Linked DNA regions of Arabidopsis thaliana. The protein of the gene in region 1 interacts with the protein of each later gene in a pairwise test. Each region holds a gene or a part of one and is shown in the gene's direction. Other genes may lie near its edges.

What was found. Proteins that work in one complex are often made in the same cells at the same time.
Region 2: the proteins of UEV1D-4 (region 1) and AT1G01640 interact in a two-hybrid assay, tested with the Arabidopsis thaliana proteins (one large-scale study listed by BioGRID).

The regions. Positions count from the first base shown.
Region 1 is NC_003074.8:19,492,774-19,499,383, reverse strand, and holds UEV1D-4 (ubiquitin E2 variant 1D-4), read left to right. Parts: upstream 1-3,288; 5' UTR 3,289-3,429; coding exon 3,430-3,463; exon of another isoform or gene 3,464-3,486; intron 3,487-3,975; coding exon 3,976-4,115; coding exon of another isoform or gene 4,116-4,118; intron 4,119-4,301; coding exon 4,302-4,481; intron 4,482-4,565; coding exon 4,566-4,706; 3' UTR 4,707-5,007; downstream 5,008-6,610. Other genes in the region: AT3G52561 (uncharacterized protein), read left to right, coding at 1,897-2,196; AT3G52550 (transcription repressor OFP15-like protein), read left to right, coding at 6,472-6,610. UniProt on the Arabidopsis thaliana protein: Has no ubiquitin ligase activity on its own. The heterodimer with UBC catalyzes the synthesis of non-canonical poly-ubiquitin chains that are linked through 'Lys-63'. This type of poly-ubiquitination does not lead to protein degradation by the proteasome.
Region 2 is NC_003070.9:228,658-235,139, reverse strand, and holds AT1G01640 (BTB/POZ domain-containing protein), read left to right. Parts: upstream 1-2,509; 5' UTR 2,510-2,742; intron 2,743-3,211; 5' UTR 3,212-3,224; coding exon 3,225-3,356; intron 3,357-3,484; coding exon 3,485-3,976; 3' UTR 3,977-4,232; downstream 4,233-6,482. Other genes in the region: SPPL4 (SIGNAL PEPTIDE PEPTIDASE-LIKE 4), read left to right, coding at 152-205, 519-611, 748-890, 1,522-1,592, 1,670-1,753, 1,843-1,952; AT1G01630 (Sec14p-like phosphatidylinositol transfer family protein), read right to left, coding at 4,465-4,581, 4,681-4,791, 5,206-5,311, 5,416-5,711, 5,797-5,934. UniProt on the Arabidopsis thaliana protein: May act as a substrate-specific adapter of an E3 ubiquitin-protein ligase complex (CUL3-RBX1-BTB) which mediates the ubiquitination and subsequent proteasomal degradation of target proteins.

The DNA.
Region 1 (6,610 bases):
ATTATGAAAATTCTACTTCAAATGACGGTTTAAAACGCAAGTTACAAACGTCTGTTTAATTGATCATAATAAACATTTTGAGAGTACTAATCAATAAATCATACTCATATCCAGTTACTTTCCATTGTTCAAATGAAAATCAATGGCTATCTTGATCGTAACAATTTAGAAAAATGAAAGTTATGCAAATATGTGAAACATTAAAAGTACAGTAATAAAGTTTATTGTACCATAACCTTTCGTCCAAATAATTTCCTGTTTTAAAATAAAAAGACAGGAAATTAAAGTCAAGTAATTTAACTACCATCATTAGATTAATCAAAGGAAATGTTTTTTTTAAAAACATTAATGGATATCCTTTTATTCTTCTAAATTATTGCTAAACATTTTGTGATAATTTTTACAATGACTAGTGAATCTGGTAGTTAGAAACATCTTAATGGTTTTCACCTTTGAATATCCAATTTAACTACCAGCAAGCACTACTTACATACATCTATCTACATCTTTCATTCTTTTATATTGTCAAAATTTGTCACCACCAAAAACATTGATTTATATTCAAAATTTGGAAAGTAACTCAAAGTAGTTGAGTTTTGTGGGTACCTTCAGAATGTCCATTTGATTATCAATCAAAAAGAAGTTTTTAGCTGGCGCATGAAACCGTCGTTGGAAACTTTGAAACGGATGCTTCACTGTATAAACGTACTATTATTATTTAATTTTTAATAACGAAAAGTAAATTGTAGATGAATTCTTTTTATTTGATTCATTTTTAGTTAGTGCTAGCCATTATTTCTATCTTTAACTATATTCAAAATTGTTTTTTCATACTATAAACTATTATTAGACCATTTTCTTGAATGAACCATACTTTCTAGACACTATTTCTAAAATGACTATAAATCACACCATGTAGTTCTATATTTGTATTATTGTAGTTTATTGATTTAACATTGAAAATTTAATAAATTATACAATTAAAAAATTAATAGGTTTTAATACGTGTAAAATTATAAAACAAAATTTATAATGAAACAGAGAGAATAGTAAAAACATTTATGAGAAAAATATGTATTGGTGTCACTAAAGTTATTTTAGACATATTTTCATTCAAGAAATCAGTTGAATAATAGTCTTACTGTGACAAACAATTTAATAGATAAAACATTGAGTAGTATTAACTAATAAATGAATCAAACAAACAAAGTCTAATTGATAAAATACGCCATATAAATAAACTATAAGTTTCTTTAAAATATACATTAAATATACAAAACGACAAATTTATGAAACAAAAAAGTGAAGTCATAAGATTAAAACTATTGTGAAATGGATGACAAATTCAGTTTCTTCTTTATTCTTTAAACCCTAAGTTTAAATTCTTTCAAACACAAATCGTAGTATTTGTAAAACTGTTATTTTCTTGAAATATAATTTAACGTTACATTAACAAATCAAATGGATGACATATTACTTAAAATTTAGATTACCAATAAAAAATCATAAATTCTTCTTTTAAATTGTAAGATTTAAGTCTTCCCCTTTACATTTAGCAATAAATAGTTTGCTGCACTGGTTTAAATGCACTAATGCATTGTTTACTGAATTGTCTTTTGTTTCATATATTTGTCTCTACTATACTTTTACTAACTTTCCCACCTCCAATTAAAAAAATTATTACGAAATAAACAAAGTCATATCTCTCTCCACAACATAATTACTTTATTCAACAAATATTAATTCCTAGTCATATTTTAGCTCCTCTTCTTCCTTATATATTACATACATACATTTTCTTTAGAAGTCATTACCATCAACCCATCCCCTAGAAAAACACAGAGAAAAACAAATACAAGAATACAAAAACCCTCTCGACGAAACCGAAGTATCGAAATGAGAAACAAGAATGGTAAAAGAGGTAGCGTTGAGCCCTCGGCGAGGACCGTGGCGTCGGTGGTTGCTAATGGGAGGTTTGAAGGAAGATCACCATCGAGCGACACATCATCATCACAAAACTCGTGCCTGACGAGGACGGAGGAAGTGAAGGAGGAGGTTGCATCGTCGTGGGTTGATGAAGAAGAGGCGCCGGAGATGGTGGTGATGGGATGTCGAAGTTGTATGATGTATGTTATGGTCTTACAAGAACGTCAACGTTGCCCCAAGTGCAAATGCACCGACTTGATCTTCTTTTAGAGAATTTGTTTTAAGTTATTATTCAATTTGGACTTTTGAGTTTGAGATGATGAATTTAATTTTCTTTGTAAAGTCCTCTATATAAATCATATTGTTTAAATTATAATCTCTATTTTAATATGTTAAATTGACAGACAGATCATTTCTGTTTGTGGCCGTCCCTCTTGGTTCATTTTGTTAAGTTGTCCATTTTCATGTTTTAGTACTATGGAAGCCAATGACATGAACGAGGATGGATTTTCATCGGAGTTGAATTCGATTGTTTCAAACGCTAGTTATGGCGTTTGCGTTTATATTTATTTATTTGTATACTCCAGAGAAACATAGTTTTTCAATGTAAATGAAAAACGCCAAAAAAAATAGAAAGTTTATTTTTAAAAATTACAAAATATAAATTTAAACACAAGTAAAAAAATCGACACGTCTCGAATTAGGGTCTTAAGAATCAAATTGGTAGTATGCTAATAATGGTATTGCTTTGGTTTCATCGGCATTCAATCCGATGAAATTTTCAATAATTAAGGTTAAAAGTTGTATCTTCATCAATTAAAACGTTATTTATTCAAAACAATTCACCATCAAATTCAATAAAATTTAAGAACTTTTACAAACTTCAAATATTAAATTATTTAAGAAAATATTTTTAAACCTAAATTTAGTGAAAAAGTAGCAACTAAAATTTGTTTTAATGTATTTTATGACATTTTTCTATTTATAAGTACTAAATTTTCAAAAATCTAATAAATAATTAATTTCTGTTTTTCATATATATTAAGGCACATGCGACGACATATATACGTGACAACATTTTATCCTAAAGTTTTAACATGATTTTTGAAAAAGAAATTTACATTTTACGATAATTTAGTTGCAAATCAAGCGAGTTTTAATATTTCAATAATTTTCATGTATATAGAAATTTTGCATTGCTAGTTAAAATAATAACAAATAGATGTTGTCAAAACTCGAAAATAAAAGGGGTGTTTCTGTAGTTATCATAATTTAAGGAATTATATGATAGAAAAACAAATTTGGGCGGTAAATTTGAAAAAAATAACTTTTTCCAGTCTCCCCAAAAGTACCCGATTTGCCAAATTTGACCCTCCCATTTTAGCTTTCTGTCTATTCACCAGATTCTCTCTATTCGATTCTCCCTTTACTTCTTCTCGTCTCTCTTCTCTGCTCGTCAGATCTCAAAATCAATCGGATATCGAAACCACAACTTCATCAATTATGACTCTTGGCTCAGGAGGATCTAGCGTTGTTGGTATAAAATTTCGATTCTTTCGGGTTTGTTCTCGTTTTTTGATTTTGATTCTAGGGTTTTGGAATAATCCCTCGTTTGTTTTTTTTTCTCTAGGGTTTTGGTGAATTCTTCTTTTGGTTTTATTCGTTTTGATCAATAGGTGTTGAGATTTCTCATAGGTTCTATCGATCTAGTATAAAAAATTGTAGCTTTGTCTAAATTGTTCGCATATAGCTTGATCTGAATCAATCAATTTTAACAAATCGCTGAGAATGATTTGCTGATGTCTCAATTCCTGAGATGGGTTTAAAATGCTATTCCTGAGTTTCTTATTGTTTCTAAGACCTTAGCTAGGAATGTTTTCATCTTCTCTATAGCTCATTGTTAACTTTGTTGAGTGTTATCTTATTTTAGTCTTTGTGGATAATGATTAATATGATATGTTCTGTTCTCTGCTTTGATTAAAAAAAGTGATTGCTTGTTTTCATTTACTGATATGAATTGTTTTTGTTACGCTTGTTATTGCAATATAGTTCCGAGGAATTTTCGGTTGTTGGAGGAGCTTGAACGTGGGGAGAAAGGTATTGGGGATGGAACTGTGAGCTATGGAATGGATGATGGAGATGACATCTATATGCGTTCTTGGACTGGCACCATCATCGGTCCTCACAACGTAGTTATATCTTTTTCTTTATCTGCTAACATTCTCCTTCGTCTTCATATATGTTAACAATTGTTTTGAGAAGCATAGATTAATATTATTTGCATCTCATTGCTTGGAATACAGAACATCAAAACCACATTGTTTTCTAGGCATTGATCTTATCGACATACAATCTCTTAAGCTTTATTTGAGCAGATTATGCCATTGTTGCTTTTGCTTGTAGTAACAGAGATAAATTTTATGTCACAGACTGTTCATGAAGGTAGAATCTATCAGTTGAAGCTCTTTTGTGACAAAGATTACCCGGAGAAACCTCCAACTGTCCGATTCCATTCACGTGTCAACATGGCTTGTGTCAACCACGAAACAGGAGTGGTACGTATAAACTCACCACCGCCCTTCCTTTCTCTGTTTTGTTTCTTTGGATGCTCTGTAATTTTTTTATGCGTATGTGTATAGGTGGATCCTAAGAAATTTGGGCTACTTGCAAACTGGCAAAGAGAGTACACAATGGAGGATATACTGGTACAGTTGAAGAAGGAAATGTCTACGTCGCATAACCGTAAGCTTGTTCAACCTCCGGAAGGTACTTGCTTCTAGTTACTTCTGGAATCTTCTTCTGGTTTGCTAGAAAATCATTGCCCCTTCTAATACCAAAGTATGTATCTGGGGGTCCTCCATTGTCGTTCTCAACGCTTTTTTTTTTTTAATTCATCAAAAAATGGTCTGTGTGGATGGTATGGTGATGATGATGATGTTGTCCGATTGATCATCTGAAGTTTTATCATTGTGTGCAAATATCAAAAACAGCTTCTCTTCCTCACTCCATGTGTTCAATCTTTTGAATTTAACATTTTGTGTCAGCCCTTTTTTTATATATAAATGAAATCTGCTATATTTAATTGGTTATTTGTTATGTAATACACCAAGGTTAAAACAAGAAAGTATCATAAAAAATCATGAATCTTTGTAATCCGAACTAATGGAAAAAGAAGCCATGAACAGCTTCGTAACCCTTATTTTTGTTTCTGTGATTCATCTAAAGCCAATGCTTACGGTGATTAATAGAACCTTTGAAAACTAAGTGTTACTTTTTTCTACAATTAGCACACTTCTTATTGATGATGATGCACGTCGATTTGCATGTACTTCTTGATGTTCCGCGTCGTCGTTCTTGACATAGAAACAATCATTCTTCGACATGTAGACTTCTACTTTTAGGACACTGTTTAACTTGCTTGTAAGTTGATTACGAGTGGTCTTAACCATAAACGGACTCCATGAAAGTTGATTACGAGTGGTCTTGGAAAATCAACTTATTAAATAAATGAAAAAAGTGGTTGAACGTAATTAAACCTATAACACATTTACACATTGCTCAGAAGCTCAATTAATTTATGTTTCATCAGATTTCAAGCCCAAACATTAACACTCATGGTTGGATTGATCCAGCCTGGATCTTATGGTGATAAATGTTATCTCTGTAGTTTTTTTTTCTTTTTTTCCTTTTTATTGTAAAATTTCGTTTTTAGAATGGAGAAGAAGAAAATAATTTTTCTTTCACAATATACTTATATGATATAGTTAGAGATTATAAAATGCGTTTAGTATAGATATATTTGACATTCGGTTGCATGATGACAAAATAAACAATAAATAAATGTGGTGGTGTCCTAATTAAGAACTTTGGATCCAAACAACAACTTATAAGTGGGTGAAATAATTATATACATATAGTCGAAAGCAAGTACATTTTAATTTACTATAATAGAAACATTACATATTTACATGTACATTAGCAACATATAGAAATATGCTTAAATTGATATTGGAAAATTAGATTCCACGAAATGTAGTGCTATGTGAAAACTTGCGTTTCAAACTTTGCATTATGTTTAGGATATATACGCATAATCACAAGCCAGTTTTCTTAAGTGAAGTTGTCAACTAATAAATATGGTGACACCGTGAAATTAAAAGTGGAAGATATATTGTTACATCCATATTTTAACATTTGAGTGTCGAGTAGCTTTAAAGGAACATTAAAAAGAATATAAATTGTGATAGGTACGGTTATTATTATGTTTACCAGAATTAGACGGACCGCAGACGAATGGGACAAATTGTTGTTATGGTTGATAGATAAATATGTACGACCAAACTTATAAGTAAAATTATGGATCAGCATGTAATACGGTCAATGATGTTTTCTAAACCCTTGTTTACTTTTAATCAAAGTTATACTTTTAGGTTCAACAATAAATACTAAGTTTCTCATTTTGTATTTATACTCCCCTAAGTATATTTCTCATTTTGAATCCACCCAAAAAATAAAACGATAGCAAACAACAAAGGTGGAAAAATTATGAAAGTCCCATTTTTAAACAAGAGTTTTTCATCTTCATGTTATTCAAATTCAAATTCATCATCATGGGGATGGCCTTCTTGTCACCAAAACCCTAGAACTCAATCTTTCAGAATCACCATCAGCACAATCAACCCTT
Region 2 (6,482 bases), on another chromosome or scaffold:
TACAAGTATACCTACTGTTAAATTTCCATACAAGGCTACCATGTACATACCTTCATGCATATGTATAAGTAATTGGTGTTAGGTTGACCTATCTGTAGTCTTAACAAATAACACAAGTTAACAGCTTACTTTTGGTTTTTCTTGCTGACAGGGAATCTCACTGATAATCACGGTTCTTCAAATTGTCCGCGTACCAAATCTTAAGGTATTACCAATTCCTTATCAAATGTCACATGGGATTGCCGTTACAATCATGAGGGCACTAAATATCACATGTTGACAAACACCTTTAGCCATCTCGTACCAGCTTTGTTTTGAACCATCACTTTTCCTGTGTATATATTCTGAATTTGTGCTCTAACATGTTGAAAATTCAACTGTCTAAACCAATCAGTTGAAGACTGAAAATTTGATTGCTGCTGGTAGACGGATACAATCATTTCTGCCAATGTATAGAAGACCAATCTCTATAATAACAATATTAGTTATGATGACTCATTGAACTCTTACGTAAACAGGTCGGGTTTGTTCTTCTCAGCTGTGCCTTCATGTATGACATCTTCTGGGTTTTTGTTTCAAAATGGTGGTTCCGTGAAAGCGTGATGATTGTGGTAAGTTTTTCTTTTTTGCTCCAGACCATCATGCAAGAAGACTTTGTTAGATATTCCAACTACACATACTTATCTGTCTGCTCCACACTGATATTATCGGAGAATTGTACGTCTTTTCCCATTTTCCCACATATAGGTAGCCCGTGGTGACAGAAGCGGAGAGGACGGAATTCCAATGCTACTAAAGATCCCACGAATGTTTGATCCTTGGGGTGGCTACAGCATAATTGGATTTGGTGACATTATCTTACCAGGACTGCTTGTAACTTTCGCACTGAGGTTTGCACTGTTACAATCTCCTCTTGCGCTCTCTCACATTATTACTATATCAAGATCTCAACTAAACTGAGTTATTAGAAGCATACAAAAGTATGAAATGATGCGCAAATGCGGATATCAATGTAAATCAGGACAACAAACCAATAGAGGTGCTCAGCGAAAACAACAAAATGTGAAAAGGGTTTATCAGAAACATTGGGGTCATGATATACCTTTATATCCGCATTTGCGCATCATCTCTGACAGATTTTTTATAAAACAAAATCGCTTGAACCTGGCAAAAAAATCTTATAATCCGACATTCTGGTTCAATTTAACCTTATGTCCTTATGCTTTGTGTCTGTTTAATGTGGTTTGCAATTTTTTGAAGAACTTGTAGATAGAAATATACATTACATAGTCTAGTAAATAGATGAGTGTGAATGAATCAAATGTCTTCAGAGAAATCAGGGTAAGGTTGCACTAGGTAGACAAATGGAGACAAGATATTGTTTAGAAAAAGAATTGATAACTGTAGGGATGTGTTTTCAGGTGATCCATCTTATCATTTTCAGTAATAAAAAGGAAACCTATTATGATAAGTACCTTAATCTAATGTTAAATCCGATCAAAATCGTGCACCGTTCTGCAGGTACGACTGGCTGGCGAACAAGAGGCTAAAGTCAGGGTACTTCCTTGGGACAATGTCTGCTTATGGTCTAGGTATGATCCCTCACGTAGGGGAGAAACGAATAAGAAATCTAGTAAAGGTTTTTTAATATGATTCTTGACAATCACAGGTCTTCTCATAACATACATAGCTCTAAACTTGATGGACGGACATGGGCAACCGGCTCTGCTTTACATCGTCCCATTCATACTAGGTAAGAACACTGAACCCACAACAGATGTTTTGGAACCAAAAGCTATGTATGTTTTGAAACTAAGAATGGTTTGTGGTGCAATGTGTCAGGTACTTTGTTCGTGTTGGGTCACAAGAGAGGTGACTTGAAGACGCTGTGGACAACAGGGGAACCCGACAGGCCATGCCCTCACGTTCGTCTTCAACCTCAATCGTCTTAAAACAACCTGCTATGTATCAGATGGGAACAGATAAAAATCAGATGATCCTCTAGTTTTTTTTTATTGTTAATACAACACACCCCTTCTTAGGTCAATATATATGTCTCTGTACGCTTTCACACAACTAGACAGGAGAGCCCATACCACATTTGCCTTAAATAACTCTTTTAACCTCTCTTGCTAGTTTCTCTCTATTATTAGACATGAAACCATGAATAGACTTGGCTTCTTTTCCTGAGTCATGATGATCAGATTTTCTTCTATAACATACATATGTCCAACTAGTATTTTACAGATTACTAATGTAAAAGGGTCACAAGTTTTTTAGAGGAATTATATATAGTAGCAACTAAAATTTTTCATTAATATGACTGATAGTAATAAAAACTGATGCTAACACTTCTAATATAAAGTTGATGTTGATAAAAGTCTAGCTTAACTGAAAAGAAAAGAAAAAAAAACGAGTCTTGAAAATAAATCAGAAGTTGTTGTTGTTGGTTTGTTATGGGCCGATACCGGTGACCCATTAGAGCACGTTGGACCTATAGTTAAAATGCTGGAAAAGATCTTAAAAAAATTCTAGTGATATTTCAAAATCCGATATTCACCTAAACTTTCGCTTTAAACATTTGCTTTTCCGAATTTTTTTGATAATAAATATTGCTCCACTAAAAATATAATCTTAAATTATATCGATATCACAAGTAAAGTAATCATCAAGTCAAGTTCAGAGTCTCTCAGATCATCGTACCGAATCTATAGAGGAAGCAGCCGATCTCGCTATCAGTCGGTAATATACACTATCATTCTACTTTCCTAATTTCTCTTCTTCTTTTTGTTTTCTTTGAGAATTGCATGACAAACCCTTGGAAAAGGGTTGTTTTAAAATCATCATGAAATTTGAGAATATGATCGGTGGCTTGATTGAATTTTCGTTTTGTGTGAGTGGTCTTTCTGTTTGAGTTTTAAAATTTCGGAGAGTGGCGTTTTAAGATTCGATACCATATCCTTGGATAACTATTAGCCAGAACAATACTTTCAAATTTTAAAGCTTTGATTAGAGTTTTAAAGCTTAGGGGAGGATCACAAATTTACAATATTGATCTTATGAATAGAGAACCTCTCTACTACTACTCTTAAGATTTGTTGATTAAAATAAACAATTGTGGCATGTATGGTTAACTTTGATCTTCTTGGTATTTCGTTCTCTGTTTGGCCAAGTAATACTACATACTAAAGCTTTTTGGTTGTGACATTAGTTTGAATAAACTAATGACAGAAGCAGAGCAAAAGGCGGCTTTCCTCGGTGGTCTTGTTGTCTCATTCAAGGAGCAAATGCATACTGATGTTCTCGTTAAACCTGGTGAAGAAGCTCCACCCATACCTACCCACAAAGCCGTTCTGGTAACAGATGATTTACATTTTGCTTTTATATTAATGTCACAGTTCTAGTCTCAAGACATTACTATATTTAGATATGATATGATAACACTGGATCATGATACGACTGAATAAATCTGTTTTTGTTCTAGGCGGCAAGATCAAAGGTCTTCAGGAACATGTTAGATTCTGATGAATGCAAGACCTCCCCCGAGGAATCAATCACTCTCCCTGATTTGTCCCACGACGAACTCAAATCTCTTCTCGAGTTCCTCTACAGCGGTAACCTAAAAGCTCCATACAATCAATACCGATCCCTATATCTGGCTGCAGATAAGTACGACATTTCATATCTGCAAGACGTATGCCGTAACCATTTCATCGCATCTCTGAGCTCTAGGAACGTCCTAGACATCTTAGAGCTCGCCAGTATACCTTGTGACACAATCTTGAAAGACGCGGCTATCAATCATATTGTCAAACATATGGAAGAAGTGGTTGTTCCCATGAAATATGAGACGTTTGTGCAGAGGAACCCGGATCTAAGCGTGGAGATCACTCGGGCTTATCTGAGAGAGACCAAAGCCAAAGCCAAAGATCATGGAGCTCCTCTAAATGGTAATACTCGCCCACGCATCTGGTGAACAAACAGCTTGTGTAAGTGGATCGATCTCACTTGCCAAAGGGGATTTGATGGTTTCTTCTTTTCTTTCTAATAAGAGTGAAAATATTAGTAAAGACTTGTTTTATGGATTATCAATTCAAGGTGTTTTCTTTTTTTCAATGTACCCTTCATAAATTAAACCTCTTTTATATTATTTTGTTGTTTTGGTTTAGAATTCTAGTTGGAACAAGTTGTGTGTTAGATTTGCAGGGAAGAGCAACAGCAAGCTAGACTGAAATTGTATAGTTGCCGAAGTATTATGGCTAGATCACAGTAGATAGATAATTATGAAAAATTACATGAAATTTAAAGGTGTTTTCAATATTATATCTTTTAGCTTCTTTGACAGTAAATATATAATTGTTGGCATTTGGCGACACTCAATATGTTTTTCATTTTATTCAAATAAAAAATAATACTAGTAAGTAATAATTTGGAAATAGAGGTGGGCCGTAGTAAGACCTATAATCAGGTCTCCTGAATAGGAACAAGTGGCAATTTGCCTCCGTAGATGTCGGGAAGTTGGCTTTCGTCTATGTCTTCAAGCAGCGTTGGAGTGAGTTTCTTGTTCTCCACGAAAACAATCTGCCCCCCCAAAAAAACACGAAATTAACAATCAAATTTTCCAACACAGTCTTAAAACATACTAATAAAGTGATTGTGAAGCAGAGCAAATCAATGTACCTTTTTCTTGGTGTTGGCGTCGATAAAAGGATAAATGACCTTCCATGCGGTCATGAAAATGTAGGGGGCATGAACTATATAGAGTTTCCCTAATCTCTCTGGGTAACAATCCTGTAAAACAAGGTTTTCTTAATGTGGGGGTTACTCACTGTCAGGACTCACGACCATGAACAATATTACTAACGCAATATTTTGCTAAAAATAGGATTACAATCATGAAAGTTCCTTTTCAAAAAAAATCCATAAACAAAGAGAAACAAAAAAAAAGAAGCCAAGTGTGGCCAAAAGGACCAAAATAACAAAAAGACCTTTAACCTGATCACCTACTCCAAAATAACAAAAACACCTTTTAAAACATAGTAAATAGTACTGACGAACAAAAGGTTTCTTAGTTGGAAGTCAAACTGAATTCTCTATATTTGGAGTTAAGTGGATTATTAGCAATATTTTCCTTTATTAGTGATAATTGCTAAAAACCTAAATGTTTGTTTCAAAAGATATGATAGGCGAATTAAAGGAAGTAACCTGCAAAGTGGAAAGAGCAGCAAGGTAGCCACGGATGTCACAATTAGAATATCCCCAGCCTTGCAGATCTCCAATTGCTACGAATTTCTCTTGACCTCTCGGCATTCTAACATGACAACATTCAAACAAACAAAAAAAGAGCATTAGCATAAATGGTTTCTTATATACCCACACTAACTTAATGTATGTAGTAATATTATTATTATTCACCTAGCACAAATCTTCTCGAGCGTGTAGACAACAAAACGCTTGAACTCGTCAGGGTTGCCTTTGGAAGGGTTATGTCTGTTCCCAATGGCAACAGCGATAGGTCGACCCATCTTGTCATGACCTTGCATACACATCTTGTTATGCGATAGATCATTTGCAATCTCTGCTTCTGGTATGTGCCCCTTTGGGAGCATGCTTCTCTTCCAAGTCAGGTAATTTAGAAACATCGTTGAAGCCTTTTCAATGTCCAGGTCACGCGCTCTCAGAAACCTCCTTATCATCAGATCATCCACCTCCTGCAAATCCAAATCATTAGGGCTTTTATCAAATCAATACTTTTCTGGTTGAATTCTTTTTTTACTTAAAGAAATCGATAGGGACCTTAGTTTCAGGATCTTGTCGGTCGCAGAGAGCTCTCATGATCCCGACTTTGCTCCTCTCGATCTCATCTTCGATCAACGGAACGGTCTTTTGCTCAGCTGCTGCTGCTGGTTCTTGCTTGGTCTCTTTGTTTTCCATTACGTTTCTCCTGTGAGCGACGACCAGATCTTGAAATTGGTAGAGAGAAGAAAGAAGTAGGATCGATCATAAATGAAGACAGCTGCTGAGAGAAAGATTTTAAGTGTCATTCAATGCAAAGTTGGGCTGCTTTCCCCTTCAATGGCGACGCTCACCAACTACTCTCTTCCTTACAAAAATTCTACTCATTTATTGACTAATCCCAGGTCCCCGACTCTACAGGAAGAAGACGATTATATCGTATTGGGCCTTATTAGAGCCTATTGGGCTCGAGTTGATTTGTCGTAAAGACTTGGTCTGTGGTTTAATCAATCTCTCATGCCTCAAAGTGTTGACTGATTCAGAGGCCGTTTTAGTGTTTTGAGCCCACGTCAGAAGCTTGTCTGTCGTCTGTGTGTATAAAACAAAATTCAATTCACGATTTTTTAAAATATTGATCGTATCTTTTTCCACATGTATGTAAGCAATGAAGGATCTGCTTCGTTGCAAAATATTAGTTTTTCTTTTGATAGGCATGTACCAACTAAGTACCAGCTACGTACACAGAC